2 linked regions of the Mytilus edulis genome follow. The protein of the gene in region 1 interacts with the protein of each later gene in a biochemical or structural test. Links are inferred from orthologs where the notes say so. Each region holds a gene or a part of one and is shown in the gene's direction. Other genes may lie near its edges. The genes, in order: F-box-like/WD repeat-containing protein TBL1XR1 and E3 ubiquitin-protein ligase SIAH1-like.

The links.
Region 2: the proteins of F-box-like/WD repeat-containing protein TBL1XR1 (region 1) and E3 ubiquitin-protein ligase SIAH1-like form a complex in vitro, tested with the Drosophila melanogaster proteins (2 studies listed by BioGRID). The link is inferred for Mytilus edulis from reciprocal best matches to the Drosophila melanogaster genes ebi and sina.

Annotation. Positions count from the first base shown.
Region 1 is NC_092346.1:85,056,866-85,066,415, reverse strand, and holds the start of F-box-like/WD repeat-containing protein TBL1XR1, read left to right. Parts: upstream 1-5,153; 5' UTR 5,154-5,696; intron 5,697-6,023; 5' UTR 6,024-6,077; coding exon 6,078-6,135; intron 6,136-9,115; coding exon 9,116-9,261; intron 9,262-9,550.
Region 2 is NC_092350.1:59,085,972-59,095,405, reverse strand, and holds the start of E3 ubiquitin-protein ligase SIAH1-like, read left to right. Parts: upstream 1-4,677; 5' UTR 4,678-4,758; intron 4,759-8,957; 5' UTR 8,958-9,003; coding exon 9,004-9,088; intron 9,089-9,434. UniProt on the Drosophila melanogaster protein: E3 ubiquitin-protein ligase that is required for specification of R7 photoreceptor cell fate in the eye by mediating the ubiquitination and subsequent proteasomal degradation of Tramtrack (ttk).

The DNA of each region.
Region 1 (9,550 bases):
TTGTAACATTTTGTTTTAAAAGATACAAGTGTATTACTCATTTTTATTTCATTTGGTAAACTGTTCCATATTTGAGAACCTGAATATGTAAATGTTTTCTTTAAAAAATTTGAGATAAATACTCCAAAGGGTGAACTCCGTTTCTCCGGAAGACCTATAAAAGATTTTTTTAAGGTTGGCAGGAACAAAAATAGTTCATATTAGTTTGTATTGACAATCGTTATAGAATATCTGTTTCACACGAGACAGATATGTTCCTATTGATAATCGTTATAGAATATCTGTTTCACACGATGGCGACAGATATGTTTCTATTGTTAATCGTTATAGAATATCTGTTTCACACGATGGCGATAGATATGTTCCTATTGTTAATCGTTATAGAATATTTGTTTCACACGATGGCGACAGATATGTTCCTATGGTTAATCGTTATAGAATATCTGTTTCACACGATGGTGACAGATTTGTTCCTATTGATAATCGTTTATGAATATCTGTTTCACACGATGGCGACAGATATGTTCCTATTGTTAATCGTTCTAGAATATCTGTTTCACACGATGGCAACAGATATGTTCCTATTGTTAATCGTTATAGAATATCTGTTTCACACGAGACAGATATGTTCCTATGGTTAATCGTTATAGAATATCTGTTTTACACAATGTCGACAGATATGTTCCTATTGTTAATCGTTATAGAATATCTGTTTTACACATTGTCGACAGACATGTTCCTATGGTAAATCGTTATAGAATATCTGTTTTACACAATGTCCACAGATATGTTCCTATGGTTAATCGTTATAGAATATCTGTTTTACACAATGTCGACAGATATGTTCCTATGGTTAATCGTTATAGAATATCTGTTTCACACGATGTCGACAGATATGTTCCTATGGTTAATCGTTATAGAATATCTGTTTCACACGATGGCGACAGATATGTTCCTATGTTCCTATGGTTAATTGTTATAGAATATCTGTTTCACACGATGGCGACAGGTTATTCCTATGGTTAATCGTTATAGAATGTCTGTTCCTATTGATAATCGTTATAGAATATATGTTTCACACGATGGCGACAGACATGTTCCTATTGTTAATCGTTATAGAATATCTGTTTCACAGGATGGCGACAGATATGTTCCTATGGTTAATCGTTATAGAATATCTGTTTCACACGATGGCGACAGATATGTTCCTATGTTCCTATGGTTAATTGTTATAGAATATCTGTTTCACACGATGGCGACAGGTTATTCCTATGGTTAATCGTTATAGAATGTCTGTTCCTATTGATAATCGTTATAGAATATATGTTTCACACGATGGCGACAGACATGTTCCTATTGTTAATCGTTATAGAATATCTGTTTCACACGATGGCAACAGATATGTTCCTATTGTTAATCGTTATAGAATATCTGTTTCACACGAGACAGATATGTTCCTATGGTTAATCATTATATCTGTTTTACACAATGTCGACAGATATGTTCCTATTGTTAATCGTTATAGAATATCTGTTTCACACATTGTCGACAGACATGTTCCTATGGTAAATCGTTATAGAATATCTGTTTTACACAATGTCCACAGATATGTTCCTATGGTTAATCGTTATAGAATATCTGTTTTACACAATGTCGACAGACATGTTCCTATGTTTATCGTTATAGAATATCTGTTTCACACGATGTCGACAGATATGTTCCTATGGTTAATCGTTATAGAATGTCTGTTTTACACAATGTCCACAGATATGTTCCTATGGTTAATCGTTATAAAATATCTGTTTCACACGATGTCGACAGATATGTTCCTATGGTTAATCGTTATAGAATATCTGTTTCACACGTTGTCCACAGATATGTTCCTATGGTTAATTGTTATAGAATATCTGTTTCACACGATGTCGACAGATATGTTCCTATGGTTAATTGTTATAGAATATCTGTTTCACACGATGTCAACAGATATGTTCCTATGGTTAATTGTTATAGAATATCTGTTTTACACAATGTCAACAGATATGTTCCTATGGTTAATCGTTATAGAATATCTGTTTTACACGATGGCGACAGATATGTTCCTATGGTTAATCGTTATAGAATATCTGTTTTACACAATGTTAACAGATATGTTCCTATGGTTAATTGTTATAGAATATCTGTTTCACACGTTGTCGACAGATATGTTCCTATGGTTAATCGTTATAGAATATCTGTTTTACACAATGTCAACAGATATGTTCCTATGGTTAATCGTTATAGAATATCTGTTTCACACGATGGCGACAGATATGTTCCTATGGTTAATTGTTATAGAATATCTGTTTCACACGATGGCGACAGGTTATTCCTATGGTTAATCGTTATAGAATGTCTGTTCCTATTGATAATCGTTATAGAATATATGTTTCACACGATGGCGACAGATATGTTCCTATTGTTAATCGTTATAGAATATCTGTTTCACACGATGGTGACAGCTATGTTCCTATTGATAATCGTTATAGAATATATGTTTCACACGAGACAAATATGTTCCTATTGTTAATCGTCATAGAATATCTGTTTCACACGATGGCGATAGATACGATGGCGACAGATATGTTCCTATGGTTAATCGTTAAAGAATATCTGTTTCACACAATGGTGACAGATTTGTTCCTATTGATAATCGTTATAGAATATCTGTTTCACACGAGACAGCTATGTTCCTATTGATAATCGTTATAGAATATCTGTTTCACACGATGGCGACAGATATATTCCTATTGTTAATCGTTATAGAATATCTGTTTCACACGATGGCGATAGAAATGTTCCTATTGTTAATCGTTATAGAATATTTGTTTCACACGTTGGCGACAGATATGTTCCTATGGTTAATCGTTATAGAGTATCTGTTTCACACGATGGTGACAGATTTGTTCCTATTGATAATCGTTTTAGAATATCTGTTTCACACGATGGCGACAGATATGTTCCTATTGTTAATCGTTATAGAACACTGTTTCACACGATGGCGATAGATATGTTCCTATTGTTAATCTCTATAGAATATCTGTTTCACACGATGGCGACAGATATGTTCCTATGGTTAATCCTTATAGAATATCTGTTTCAAACGATGGCGACAGATATGTTCCTATTGTTAATCGTTATAGAAATATCTGTTTCACACGATGGCGACAGATATGTTCCTATTGTTAATTGTTATAGAATATCTGTTTCACACGAGACAGATATGTTCCTATGGTTAATCGTTATAGAATATCTGTTTCACACGATGTCGACAGATATGTTCCTATGGTTATCGTTATAGAATATCTGTTTTACACAATGTCGACAGATATGTTCCTAGGGTTAATCGTTATAGAATACCTGTTACACACAATGTCGACCGATAGGTTCCTATGGTTAATCGTTATAGAATATCTGTTTCACACGATGTCGACAGATATGTTCCTATGGTTATCGTTATAGAATATCTGTTTTACACAATGTCGACAGATATGTTCCTAGGGTTAATCGTTATAGAATACCTGTTACACACAATGTCGACCGATAGGTTCCTATGGTTAATCGTTATAGAATACCTGTTTCACACGATGGCAACAGATATGTTCCTATTGTCTTAAATTCATTTCCGTCTTCTTCTTCCTCGAATACGTATTACCGATCGAATGTGTATTACCGATCGAATGTGTATTACCGATCGAATGTGTATTACTGATCGAATGTATATTCCGATCGAATATGTATTACCGATCGAATAGTATTACCGATCGAATGTGTATTACCGATCGGATGTGTATTACCGATCGAATGTGTATTACCGATCAAATTGTACTTTTCAACGGTTTTTAGCTTACACAACCAAACACGACAGCTAGGTGCCACATGTGAAGCAGATTCTGCTTATCCTTCTGGAGCACATGAGATACCCTCAGTTTTGATTTTAGTAATCACGCGGGTTGCTCAATATTTAGTTTTCTAGTTTGTATTTGTGTAACTGTAAGTCTTTTCGTCGTTTTTGTTTTGTTTTTGTCAATGGCATTGACAGTCGGTATTTTTCTGTTTCTTATCATGTGGACTGTTGCTTGTCTGCAAGTCTTTCCGGCTTTGGACATTTTGGTTTTTATTTTTCTTCGACTATTTCCTTGATTGTCCCTTTCAGTATTTTCTTCCCTATATGCACAGGCACTTGTCTCAGATTCAACCCCTTTTATTTAACTTTATATATAGTATATTTGTATAGTAAGATAATTTAGATCCTTACTATACAAATCTAATAATGCTGAGACAAGTGCCTGTGCCCATTTGGACATACATATGAATGACCCATTGCGAGTATCAAAATGCATATAAATTATTTACTCAAGAACTGACGTTTATTAGATGACTGAGCTAATTGTTTAATCTAAGACTATGAATATTTGTATTTGTATTAGAAATCTCAGGTCACTTGTTTCAGGTAATGTGTTAGTATTTAATCTTTAAAAAATACTGACGGATTTTCCCGTCTTGGGTCCTCTCGTCGGAAAATAAATATTGAGCGTTATCTATTGCAACTCTCTTTTACAGTATTATGAATAACGCTACTAGTAATCTTAACACATTGCGAAAAATCAAGAAGGGACGAATAACAATGGCTTTTGTATGTTTACTTTTCAGTGCACAGTATTTGTTTGTCTTATTTTAGGTCAAAGAGTCACGTTTGTAACTTAAATGGGTCAAAGGTGTCAGTAGGGGAAACTTTTTCTTTTCGTCACTTTAAAATATCCTTAAATTTAATGATCTATCACCAAGAACTATAATAATACCTTGTGTTAATTTACAACTTTAGTTGGTAAACAAATTATACTCTATTGCATAAATTCCCACAATAGAACTTTTAAATTTCCCAACTTAGCCCTTTAGAATGTTGCATTTAATTTATAGGTGAAAATATACTATAAGTTCGGTTGTAGCCTTTAGATTATTGTTAAATATCAACAATCTAACTTGAAATTATAAACAAAACTGTATTATAAGTTTGTGATTTTGACGCCTCTTCGAAACATTTCCAAGGATATCATCTAGGGCTAATATTTTATTTTGTCAAACCCGTTCGAATGGGTCATGCCCAGGCTTACGTCATTCATATATACAGCAGTAAAGCGCCTGTAGTATGCAAAATATTAGAAGCTTCCGCAGAAGAAATCTAACCTATTTTATTTGATTCTACGTAATAAACGGAGTTAATCAAATTACACAGAAATTATTTGAAATATAAAATATTTGATTAATGAGATATAAGCCATATTAAATGGAACATATGAGATTTCTTTTTATGTTGATCTCGCACTATTCATAGAAAAGTAGTACTCTGATTGTTCCGCATTCGTCGGCATACTTCGATGATCGAGGAAATTCAATGGAATACACCGGAGACAATTTTCTTGTTTCAGGAGTAATTTGAAGTGTGGTTTATTGTCTATATTATTATCACATTCATCTTCATTGACAGAACTCGAATAACATTAAGTTTTGGTTATTAATTTAAGGAATACTGTTCATTATAATATTTTATTTGCAATCGTTTCAAATACAGTCTGTTTCACAAAACATATTTATTGACTTTGCGCTTGTTTGTGCATATTTTCATTTGACAGTCGGATTCGTTGTTTTAAAATTTGCTGGTAAGTTGTTTTAATATGTATCAGATGTACTAATTGTTGCTATAATGATAATATTATGTCGTTTAAATTGATGCATGGTAAATAGAAAGTTTTCGTTTCAGTAATTAAGAACACAAATATTGAAACATTCCGGGATTTAGTTTGAGTTTAGAGCAATGACATGAACGTTTCTTAAAGACAAACATTCAGTTTTCATTTCTGTATTTAAGGCGATTATAGTCTATTCCTGTAATTAGTTTTGTGATGATAGGCCAAGCTATTTATAGTCTGTTCCATATTTTTCATTTTCTATAGTCTGTTTTATAGTTGTATTACCTTTTGCTTCAGGTAAAGGTCTGCAGTAAATGACTCTTATTTAAAGACAGTAAAAAGTAACAAGTCATGAGCTTTAGCAGTGACGAAGTGAATTTTTTGGTGTACAGATATTTGCAAGAATCTGGTAATTATTTTTTTTTCTCTATTGATACATTTATATATATAGTTCACACAGTGAGTAGTTTCTATGTACATTACATACATGTACATATGACATTGGATGACATCATACATGTACTGAAGTGAAAGAAAATGAGGTAATGAATAACTTTATCAAATCACTTTTCCAGTAACACCAATACCCTGGCTACATTTGTATCTACCTTTAAATATATTTATATATACTGAAACCTAAAATGTCAGTACATGTTGAAGCATGCTTCAAGTTAGGTCAATAAATATATACTTGGTTCCTGTCTCCATAAAGAAGCATACATGTACATGTTGGATAGCAGGGTTCTCTCTAAGACGTGTATACACGTCCTGGACGCATGGAAATCTAGCTGGACGCATCATTTTTGAAACCTGTGAGTCCCTGGGACGCGTCCTCCTTGTATCCCATGAGTCCAAAACATATCGTTTTGCATAGAAAATTCTGACATTGTTTTGACAGGAAACTATTCCGGAAGTTGACATTTTTATGATATGCGCAGGTCAATATTTTTGTTGACTGATACATATTTTTTTTAATTAAATGTATCTCATACTAAAATATTATAATTCTATTAAAAAGTATCAATAAATATGTTATAGTTACCGATTTTGTAATTTTATGAGTATTTGATAAGCTTGAATATTTCCATGTGTTGAACATCACATCCCTGTCGATTGAAACATAGAAAGTAAAATATATCTGTGAACTTGAAACAAAATGATATAATATTTCACAAATGATGCTTAACATATAAAATATATCATAAAACAGCGTAGATTAAATAAAATATGAATGAGAATAATTTTACTTGTCTTCGATTGAATTTTCTCGTATTGTGCATGTTGAACATCGCGATCGTAAACAGGTAAAAAAAAAATTGAAAATCTGATTAGAACATGATGTAAAATTTATAGTAGTGCTATTTAGCCAAGATCATTATGTTGAACAGTGTATGATAATTTTCATGATTCAAACAAATAATTTAACATATGATATACTGTAAAAGAAAATTTCCTAAACTCTTTATTTATGTCTATAAAATGTGTCAAGTACACTACATGTACAAAATTGTAGTCATGAAATTTTTAAGTACATACATGAGGAAATGAAGTAAACAGAATTTAGCTGAAAACAAGTCCTCACCAATAACAACCAACATTTACATAGGTACTTTTACTTGAAAAAAGTAAATGAAACATTTTAAAATTATGAAGATTATCTGAAACTTAAATATGATCCGAATAAGCTCAGTGTTAAACGTACCCTGTCACACAACTCAACAACATCTGATTGGAACTATGTTTTGACAACAATACTGGTTCACACATATTTCAGAGGAAGTGGGTTATTTGTGAATTTGAAGTCAATCCATCTTGGGTAAATTGAAATGTAGGATTGAGACATGATTTTAATCACATCATATACAAAAATGTCTGAGTTTTACAATGTCCATGTAAATGTAGCTTATAGTCTAAAGTATATGTAGGTGTGAATGCTAATGCATATTCTAGTCCAGAATGGTACAATATAAAATTGAGAATGGAAATGGGGAATGTGCCAAAGAGACAACAACCCGACTATAGAGCAGACAACAGCAGAAGGTCACCAACAGGTCTTCAATGCAACAAGAAATTCTCACACCCAGAGGCGTCCTTCAGCTGGCCCCTAAACAAATATATACTGGTTCAGTGATAATGAACACCATACTAAACTCCAAATTGTACACAAGAAACTAAAAGTTAAAATGATACAAGACTAACAAAGGCCAGAGGCTCCTGACTTGGGACAGGCGCAAAAATGCGGCGGGGTAATAAATGCATGAGAATATTTTATTACTTTTTTTGGCAAATCTAATATGCATACATGTACAATTTATTTCACTTGTATATATAATATTAATAATAATAAAGATTTAAATTTAGAATAACAATTACATATTGCAGAACCAGTATAAGCACACTGTATTTAATTCCCATATTATAAATCCAGATATTCATTACGTTTCATAACATTTGATTTGAACCTAATAAAAGAAAAGTACATTTGGTATGATTGCCAATGAGACAACTATCCACAAAAGACCAAAATGACACGGACATTAACAACTATAGGTCACTGTACGGCATTCAACAATGAGCAAAGCCCATACCGCATAGTCAGCTTTAAAAGGCCCCTATAAGACAATGTAAAACAATTCAAACCAGAAAACTAATGGCCTTATTTATATAATAAAATGAACGAAAAACAAATATGTAACACATAAACAAACGACAACCACTGAATTACAGGCTCCTGCCTTGGGACAGGCACATACATAAATAAAGTGGTGGGGTTAAACATGTTAGCGGGATCCCAACCCTCCCCCTAACCTGGGACAGTGGTATAACAGTACAACATAAGAACGAACTTGTATATGCAGAGCAAAAATACACAATAAAAGCAAAGGGACAACGCTTATATAGGTGTTGTACTGGTTCATCTCAAAAGTCACCGTGAGGCCTTAAATATGGAGCAAAAAAAAACTCTAACCTCACTACAAGTTCCCTAGCATGCATGTGATGAAAGCAAATGAAAGCTGATTAGTAGATACAGTCGCAATTCATTAATGTATAGTACAATCATGTTATTTAAAGGTAAAACAGGCTGTCACAAAGTTTGACTTTTTACATATCATCTTTGACAAGTGTGACTTTCAAGCGATCTGAAAAAAAATATAATGCTCCACAGTGTGCTACATGTACTTTGGAACCCAATGTGGACCAATTTGATAAAGAGGCCCAAAATCAAAATACACGGTCAGTTAGCAGGTTAGATTGAACACATCTGGCCTCAAATTTTAACTTCTCCTTTATCATCTCATCAAGTGCATTTACATGTATATTTAAATATAGAATATAAGAACTTGTTGATTGTAACTTCTTTAAACCTAATTATTAATTTTATTTGTAAGGTTTTGTGCACTCAGCCTATACTTTTGGAATTGAAAGCCATATCAGTCAGTCTAATATCAATGGAGCACTGGTGCCACCAGCAGCATTGCTGAACATCATACAAAAGGGCCTACAGTATACAGAGGCTGAGATAAGCATTGCAGAGGTAAAGACTAGATTTAAATGGTTATAATACCTAAATTATAATTAGAGCATAGAAATTAAGGATTTAAAACACAATCATAAACTTGTGTATTATATATTCATTTGGTTTATTACTGTGCTTATTCATGGTGTATCAGTTTTACAAGTTTTTTTTGTGGAATAAGCAAGAAAATTGAGAAAGAATTGTGAAAGAAACAACAACTTGACAATAGAGCAGATAACAGCCGAAAAATACAGATACAATGTATTTAAACATTCAATGATAATCAGCTGACTTCAATTTACAATGT
Region 2 (9,434 bases), on another chromosome or scaffold:
TTAACAAAAACAAAATGTTCACGAACAACATACTTCTTCTTCTTCTTCTTCTTCTGCTCCTGCCTGATAATGGCCACAGTCAACGAGCTGATTATTATGCCATGACAATAAAATTGAGAAAGGTAATGGGGAATGTGTCAAAGCGACAACAACCCGACCATAGAGCAGACAACAGCCGAAGGCCACCGATGGGTGTTCAATGTAGCGAGAAACTCCCGCACCCGGAGGCGTCCTTTTTTCTGTCTGTGGCTACTTAGCAGAAAATGCCACTCTTGGCTTTTATGTTTATTAGTATTGTTTATAAATGATTTAATATAAATAGTTTTTGGTATTTTTTATATTAGTTTTCCTATTGAAGGTCTGTGGTTTTCTCCGATAACTCCGGCTCCCTCCACCAATAAAAACTGGCCGCCAGGAAAAAGTCTAAATGTGGTGTATAAAAGCATAGGCACTTGTCTCAGAAAAAAACCCATTCCTATATACCTTTATAGTGTTAGCGGTCTTAGGTTCATGTATTGCTTTTCTTTTTTTTAAAGAAAGCAACTTGTTTTAAATTTAGCAATTTCTTTAAAACTACACTAAAAAAAATGTCGTTTCTGATGTTGTTGTGCCTACCAAAAATATATCCCAGATATCTCGCAGATCTTTATCTGTAGGATTTTTCATGTCTAAAGTGGCTCATAAATTTTTTTGATACATGTAATTGATGAACTTCTTTTATTTATAGAAAAAAGTGTAATCGCGATTTTTACTTGTTTTCAAATCAAGCTTTCATAGTGTTTATTCCAGTGGACCATTTTACTATTGTATCAGTGGCGGATTCAGAACTTTTTATAAAGGGGCGCTTATACTGACCTAAGGGGTAGGGGGATCCAGTCATGCGTTAGTGATTCCCTAATATATAATCAACCAATTTTTTTCAACGAAAGGGGGCCCAGGCCCCCTGGATCCACCTATGTTTATCATGCTGGTTTCAAATATGTGCTTAAACAAGTTCAACCACTGAGAGATTGTGTACATGTCTCTTTTTTTTTTATATCCGGTAAAAATCTATGTATATTTATTTTAAAAATAAATGCCGAGTCAAAATAGAGTTTTCTTAGCATCTTATCTGATCTGATCTTATCTTTTCTATACTGAATACAAAAAAAAAAGTGTTTACCTGCACATACAATCAGAGATCAGTTATCTGCATTAGCATATGTTTATCATCTGGGACTATTATGCTCTATTATGTCAATACTATTATGTTCCAGATATCCTGTCTCGATCGGGTTCATAAATAATAAAAGAATAAGCTTTATTTGGAGTCGGCATAGTATACAAGCAAGGATATCTAACATTCATAACAATACAACATATAAACATGCAATAAATCAAACAGCACAAAATGTAGCACGTAAAGCATGCATGGTGGTAATTAGCAGAAAATAAGCAAGATAAGACCGCGGGTGGGGGTATACTGGCTACCCATTTCGGTTATGACTGTGCTGACAGCACTTGCCAAATCATACCCTGTTCTAAGGGAGCTACTATTTGATTTTTATGGGGGGGCTAGGATAAAAAATTGTGTCCTGCCTTTTTTTTTTTAGTTGTAATCTCTGTCCTGCCTTTTTATTTTTCAGTCTATTCGGTCCTGTCTTTTTTTCTTAGCTTATCCTGACTTTTTTACAACAATTGTCATCCTGCCTTTTTTGTTTGCCAAGTTACTCATCCTGCCCTTTTTTTTTTTAACTCAAAATCCTGTCCTGCCTTTTTTTCAAATATCATCCTAGAATTTTAAGCTTTTAAGACAAGTCATTGAGTTTTAAAGTCAGTCTAAGTATAATGAGAAATCGTCGTCTACATATACTGTAGAAGCGGATATTTTCGTGGAGGATTTAATTTCGTTTATTTCGTGGAAAGAATATATCTATAATACTAAAATTACGAGGTCCAATTTGTCAGCCGTCATCGGGTAAAAACGACAAATCAAAGAATTCAACTCTATATATAACTAATATAGGACAATGGTGTAGATTAAAAATTACACCACTCCAGACCCTTTTGTTTTCCACATAATTAATATTGCCAATAATTAACAAGTTCCGGGTCGAATCCGATACCAATACCAATAGTATATTCACCTGTTAGCTATTACCTTATCTGTACGTTCCGCATTTGACAGGCGCACCACCAAACGGTGTATTTAGGATTTTGCTATATACACGGGTCATAATCAAAGGGACACTACTAAATTCAATCATTGTCAAATTGTTCCCTATTATAGTTTTATTCAGCAATCAGCAAGACTTTCTAAGATAACTAATATAGGACAATGCTGTTGATTAAACAATACTCCATTCCTGAGGCCCCTCATGGGGGGTCCTAGTAATCACATAATCACCATTTTTTTGCCAATATAATCACATAATCATTAAATATTTGCTTATCTTTAGTAATCAAATAATCATAAACTAAAAATACAGTCCTAGGTAATCAAATAATCATGAAATATTTGGCTTAATAATCAAATAATCATTAAAAAAACGGCCAAGTAATCACATAATCAAAAACCCCATGAGGGCCCTCATTCCTGGATAGCCAGGACCTTTGTTTTCCAAATAATTAATATTACCAATAATTGATAAGTTCCAGATCGACGGGTTCAAACAGAAAGATTTGAAAGCAGAGAAAACTTTGTATTTATAACCGACATGCCTTTATCAGATGACAATACTAATTACTTAAATAAGGCTTAGGCATAGTTATATACTTTAATTCAGTCACGGACCCGCGATATCACGGGTGTGTACTTGTCATATATATATATATATATATTCTTCATTCTCCATTTATATATATATATGGAGTCCATGAAAATTTAACAATTATATATATATATTCCATTTATTGGAATCCACGAAATTAAATCCCAATGAAATCTTATTAACACACAAAAACGCGAAATTTTAACCCCACGGAAATTAGTGTTTCTACAGTATATATGAGACAATATCTGAAAAAGTCTAATTTCCATGTCTCCCACTTCACCAGCAATTATTTTTTTATTCGACCATCTTTTTTGAAAATTTTAAGTTTCAGTATAAACTAAATTATATAATGCACCATGGCCTGCCAATTAAACACTCATTCTTATATTTCTTCCAATAAAATATTGTAATTTAAATGTTCAACCCCCCCTAAAATCATGTTGTCCCCTGTGTTTTTTTGAAAACTAAATCATTCAAATAATATCCAAATTAATTAAACAGGCGTCCGATTCTCACATATATGATATATTATATAATAAACTTGCCCCTAATTTGTCTTTTTATGTTATAACTATAGCATGTAATAAAATTTTGCAAATTTTAACAGAAAAAAAAATTTGTCCCCAAGGGTGATTTCCCTCCTGTTACCACTGTGTTTTTTTTACCTGTGGAAACGTTTACAAGACCAAGAGTTATTTTCCCATTATGAATTGTGAAGAGCATCATTTCCTGAATGCATTAGTACAAAGAAATAGTTGGAAAGGCGGCCAGGTTTGAAAATTCAAGCCCATATCCAAGGTAAGAATTTATAGAAAAATACTTATTGGTGTTCTATCCTGTTACAGCCTTTTCTTACACTTTCTGAGAATATTTTTAAGTGTGCACCACAGCATTAAGTGTGTTTTTATATCATCTTTTTAAAAGTTATATGTCACAGGAAATACACTTACATTTAATGTGATAAAAAGGACAAAAACTATCGCGTAATTCCTTTCTGTTACGTTCTGTCATGTTACCTGATAAAAAGTAACAGCATAACCATCATCAGTAACAGGAAGGATGTTCAAGACAATTTTACTGAAGAATCGAAAAGTTAATCTACTATATGCCAACCATTTCATTTAATATAAGTTATCACCACCATATTAAATAAATTTCAAAATAATATACAGTATATTGAATTAAAAATTAGGTTTTTTGCTTTTGATAACAGCAGAGAACATTGTGCAATTCTAGTATAGTAGATAGTAACAGAAAGGAATTTATTTTAGAATTTTTCATTACCTAGGCAGATTTTTCATCTTGCAAATACAGTTTCAAAGGATAAATGACATCGTTTGCTGTTATCTTCCAATTGTAACCAATTTAAAATGATGTATTTTTCTTAAACATTAAAGTAAAGCAGAAAAATCCTTTCTGTTACCAACTCTGTCCTGTTACCGTTGTGCTGTTACTCAAGATTCTTTCATGTTACCGACATATCTGACTATATTTACGTATATTTCTAAACCTTTTGTATTGCAAATGCATAATCAATAATTGGCATTTGATAAACTGTTGCAGGATATACTAGTAAACCACAAATAGTGTCTTAAACTTATTCCTTATTCCCATTAGAAACTTTTTTAAATTGATTCACTTTGGTAACAGGAAAGAACTGGATTTGTTTGTATCATTTTTAAAATAGCCATTGTTTCCTTATTAAACAATTGTTTGAATTACAGACAACAGTTCCTAGATCCCCAATGTGTGTTCTTCGATTTGTGCTATTAAAATACTGGGTCTAAAAAAAAAAAGTTGTTTTTTCTTATTTCCAAAAATTAGACTTTTTCAGATATTGTCTCATATATAAATTTATATTATAATATAGTTAACTTTAAACTTCAATTCATAATTTCCCGCTAAAACTACTTATAAAAACCACGATATGTACAACGGAAATGATGACGTAGAACGCATATAAATGGAGAATGAAGAATAATTATCTCGTAGAAGAAAATAGAATGTAATGTTCTGTGTTTACTATGATATATTTAATTGATATTTAGAAAATCTTATGTCATAGTTAAAAATGTCATAATGTACTGTGTTGATGGTCATAATGAAAATCCAGTCGCAATAAAACGCACAAATCGCCCATTTCTGTTTACGGTTTTACAACAAAATTTTTCACAAACCAGACATCTTTTTTTAACGATTCTACTTTCACGAAAACAATGCCTTTTCAAATAAGAAAATAAACATCTGCAATATTCTCAATGCACCACCATACTCCAAATGAGATGGCATACATTTGGTCTATTTACAACATAAATTATATCATGCAGTCACAGCCACAGGCATCATAGTTTATACACCTTAAATTCTAACATGACGTTAATCTAACCCTGTGAGTACACACTGCTGATAATATTAATATAATAGAAATATATTGTTTGGGCTGTTTGGATCATACTCGCACGTCATAAGCTTTTTTATGAATGAGATACCCGACATACCTGCCAACTTTCACGATTTAGGCGTTTACTACACGATTTTGACCCTCTGTCCCGATTACACGATCGTGATCTTGAAAATAGCCAAAAAACACGATTTTAGTAAAATTTACACGAAAAATATTTTTGTTCCCGATTTTGAACTTTTAAAAGTTTTCCCAAGGGAGACAAATCGTGTCTGACAAATTTCATCCAATCAAAATTTAGTGATCACGCATTCACCAGTTGATTAATGTCGGCATAGTAAACAATCAAAGAATTGAAATTTTGAGTTGTTTTTTTTTTTTTAGCTTGGGTGTCAAATTTATAAAAATTGGAATCATGATGGGCGAGTTATCACTTGCAAAATAGTTCTGTCACGGCCTAAGAAAAAAAAGCGTGTTGCTTCGTGCAAATACTTAGAGAAATGGGAGAATGATGTCAAGTACAGGGGCTGGTTGTCTAAATCAACGTTAGGATTGTCACATGCCTTTTGTAAAGTTTGCAATAGAGACTTTAAAGTTGACCACGGTGGCCTTAATGATGTCTCCAAACATTCTAGTACTGCTTGTGATATTGATCTATATAATATATGAGGGTTTGGATGGGGTTAAATGATTAAAGAATATAATGCCCTTAAAAAATGAAGATAAGGGAATAACGGGCAAAAAAAAATTGGAGAAATGCGTGGTCAAATTTTTTGAAGATTAGAAAAAAAAGAGGTTAATTTTTTGAAGATTAGAGAAAAAAGGGGTGAAAATTAAATGTTTACAGAACAACAGTCCCCCCCCCCCCCCCCCCCCATTTCCAGACCCTCATATATTGTTGTTTTTTTTGTTATTAAATTATTAAAATATTACTTTTTTTTTATTTCTTGACAATGTATCAGACAAACATAAAGTCATCTTACTGGTGTTTATCTCAACAAAAAGAATACAACAATCAAACAATTTAAAAAAAGATAGGTTATAATAGCATCTTCAACTATCACCCCCCAAAAAAGAAGTATGTCAGACACTTTTAGGAGCCAAATCAACACACGAAAAAATGCCGCGAAAAATTCTACCCTCAAAAATGGTGCCGCGCACAAAAACCCCCATGGCCATTTTCAAAAGTTGGCAGGTATGACCCGACGTCATGAAAAGATGACGTAATTATACACACTTTTACGTCAAATTAATAGTGCGTTTATTTACAGGACCAGCAAATATTTCCCTTCACCTAATGCGCATCGATAACAAAAAATGTTGTATTTGCCCTATTTATAGAATAGAAATAATTCATGGGGGCTTGAATTTATACTGATTTTACCACATGTTTTCCCTTTATGCTGATGTTTTACCCCTTGCTGTCCCACTTGGTAAAATATTTAGCATAAAGGGCAAACCCATTGTAAAATCAGTCTAAATTCAAGCCCCATGAACTATTTCCTAATCATATTTTGCTAATCGCTATTTTGTGCATTTCTAGGTACCTCTAAAGTTTCCATAAAATTTTGATGTCATACTTGTCATAATAGAAAATATCTGACGACACAATAGAAAAGTGATAAGGCCAGACTTTTTTTAATATCTGTTTAACGAGATCCGCTGACTCCACCTTTCCCGATTTTAGAATAAAAACAAAAGTAGTGCTTCTTACTTTTATTATTATTTTTCCCGCCGACTGTTACGAAATGCTCAGAAAAAAATAAAATGTGTTGTTCACGATACTCGCTTTCAGTCAATTTCGTTATCGGTAATATTTAATTTTTACCAAGTCAATGAAAGAGCAATTTGCATTTAAAAGTAAAGAAATTCAAGGCATACACGATATATTTTCTTCTAAAAGATTTTTAAGCTGGGGGCATGCTTTTCATACTTGTTACACGAGAGCGTACATCAAATCATTCTAACTTTCGGCAAAATCAGTTATTACTTCATCAGAACTTGATGAAATTAGCCTCAAGTAAACTTGTCATCCATGTATTGCATTAGAAACGTCATATTCCTTTCCAAATAGCGTATCAAACATCGTTTATTTTTGTAAATTTTTCTTCGTCCGACATTTAAATTTGTAGAACTACGGATCGAAATCAGGATTTCATCAGAAACGGACCCGCTATGACCGAAATCCGGATTCTTGCGATAATGACTACAGACGCATGAATGGCACTGCTGACAGACAAAAATTGATCCCAAAAGGGAAAATTACGCATTCCACACGCATTAACATACTTTTGGTTAGATCTTCTTGATTAATGTATATATTTCCATGTATAAGCATTGTTTCAATTTATAGGTTAAAGTTACTTAACTCTGGGACTATTACACCAGAGACATATATACACATGTGTATATGTATGTCTCTGCATACACTAAGAGGTTCCTGACTGGGTGACTGGTATATACATATATAGTGTATATGCAGCGAGGTTGATATATTTGAGTGGTGCCATGGATCTATATTAGTGGAAATACAGAATCAAAACATAGTTTTTATGTTTATATTAATAGAAGGGTTAACCAGAGACATATATAAATTATATGTATTTATATTTCTCTGGATTAATATACTGGTCTGTTCTCATTTCATTGTTCTTGTATTTTGATAAATTCTATAAAAAAAAAAAAAAAAAATCACTTATAATGGTTTTATTTTTAGTGTCGACTGGACCAATTTTGCACTTTTATTTTTTTTTTTATTTCGCCCCCTCGACCCTAATTTTTTACAAATTTTCTCGTTAAACAGATAAAATAAAAAGTCTGGCCTAATTGTATGATGACAAAAGTTCAAGCGTAACAGATTTTCAAATTGCAGTTTACGGATTAATACAAAGTGTAATGGAATAATTACAACCTTGGTTTTGTTGTTTTTTTTCGTTAGGTTTAAAAACCCACCAATTGTCAGATCAATTATTATTAGTGCACTTCCTTTAAAGATATTTCTGTTAAATATATAATTACAAAAGGCTAAACCGCCTACATTTGTATTTTGTTTACTACGCATGGCCAGCATACATTTGTAGTACATGTAGTATAGTCTGCAATTATGGGTTCAACAGTGGTGTTGACATGGTGGAGTAATAGAACATGCCTTTCAAATTTGTAAATTTGCCATACATTTCCTATGGCACAATGTGCATCTTATTGTCCCCTGTACCAAAGAAATCCACGAAAATTGGTATCCAATGAAAATAAATGAATCCACAGTATTCAAATTAAAGTAATTTGTTTTAACACTTAACTATATCATGTATATAAATGTTATGAATGCTAAAGAAGTACATGTGTAGTCTTTATTTATATTAGTTACTGGATTCCCAAATTTCAAAGTGCATGATGTGCAAAAATATAGATAACATTCCCTTTTCATGCTTTTGTTAAAGATCTATGAAACAGTCTAGCATTTGCAGTCTGCACAGTAAGCCACTAGTCTGATGCCCCAGACTAGTAAAATTTCATTCAGACTAGTAAGTTTTTGCAAAACTTTGTTTGGCCCAATAACATGGAAAAATGTCAGAATATTGGTCTTCGAACTAGTAGTTGAAAAAGTTTTTGGTGCAGACTGATTTGGACCAGAACAGAAAAACTTTTAAATTGTGGACATGTAAAATCAGTACTGCATGTATAAAGACGCATTGATTAACATAAAACAATAATTCTTTTAATTTACAGATGTCAAAAAATCTGAGTCAATTTATATTTATGTCCGTCCAAATTAATTATCATTATTTTTTTTACATTTTCAGATGTATTTGATATTTTGATGTATCCATCAGCTCACAAGTGATAACCATGAGTTTGAGTAGGCAAACATCATCGTCAGGCAAGCAAAGGCAGCATGCAGCCGCTGCCCCAGCTAATACTGCAGCAGCTCTTGGTATGTTGGAGAAATAATCAAAAAAATAAAATAATAAGATGAAGATTTTTCCCTGTTTTAAAAATTAAATTCACAAGTTATGGTGATGTATAATTTTATATTATCACTAAACATGTGAATATATAGGTCATGTACATGTAGGTGTTAATAATGTAGAAGAAAAAAACAAGCTTTGCATTTTACATTTTGATATTTTGATTATTAAACCCAAATTTGTGTTGTTTGTTCATACTTAAATTTAAATAAGTCAGTTTCTAGTAGTTAATTGACATTTTTTGCATACATCTACACTGTAGTTCTCATGCATGCATGTCATGTAAAAATATACTATGATAATTTCAACATT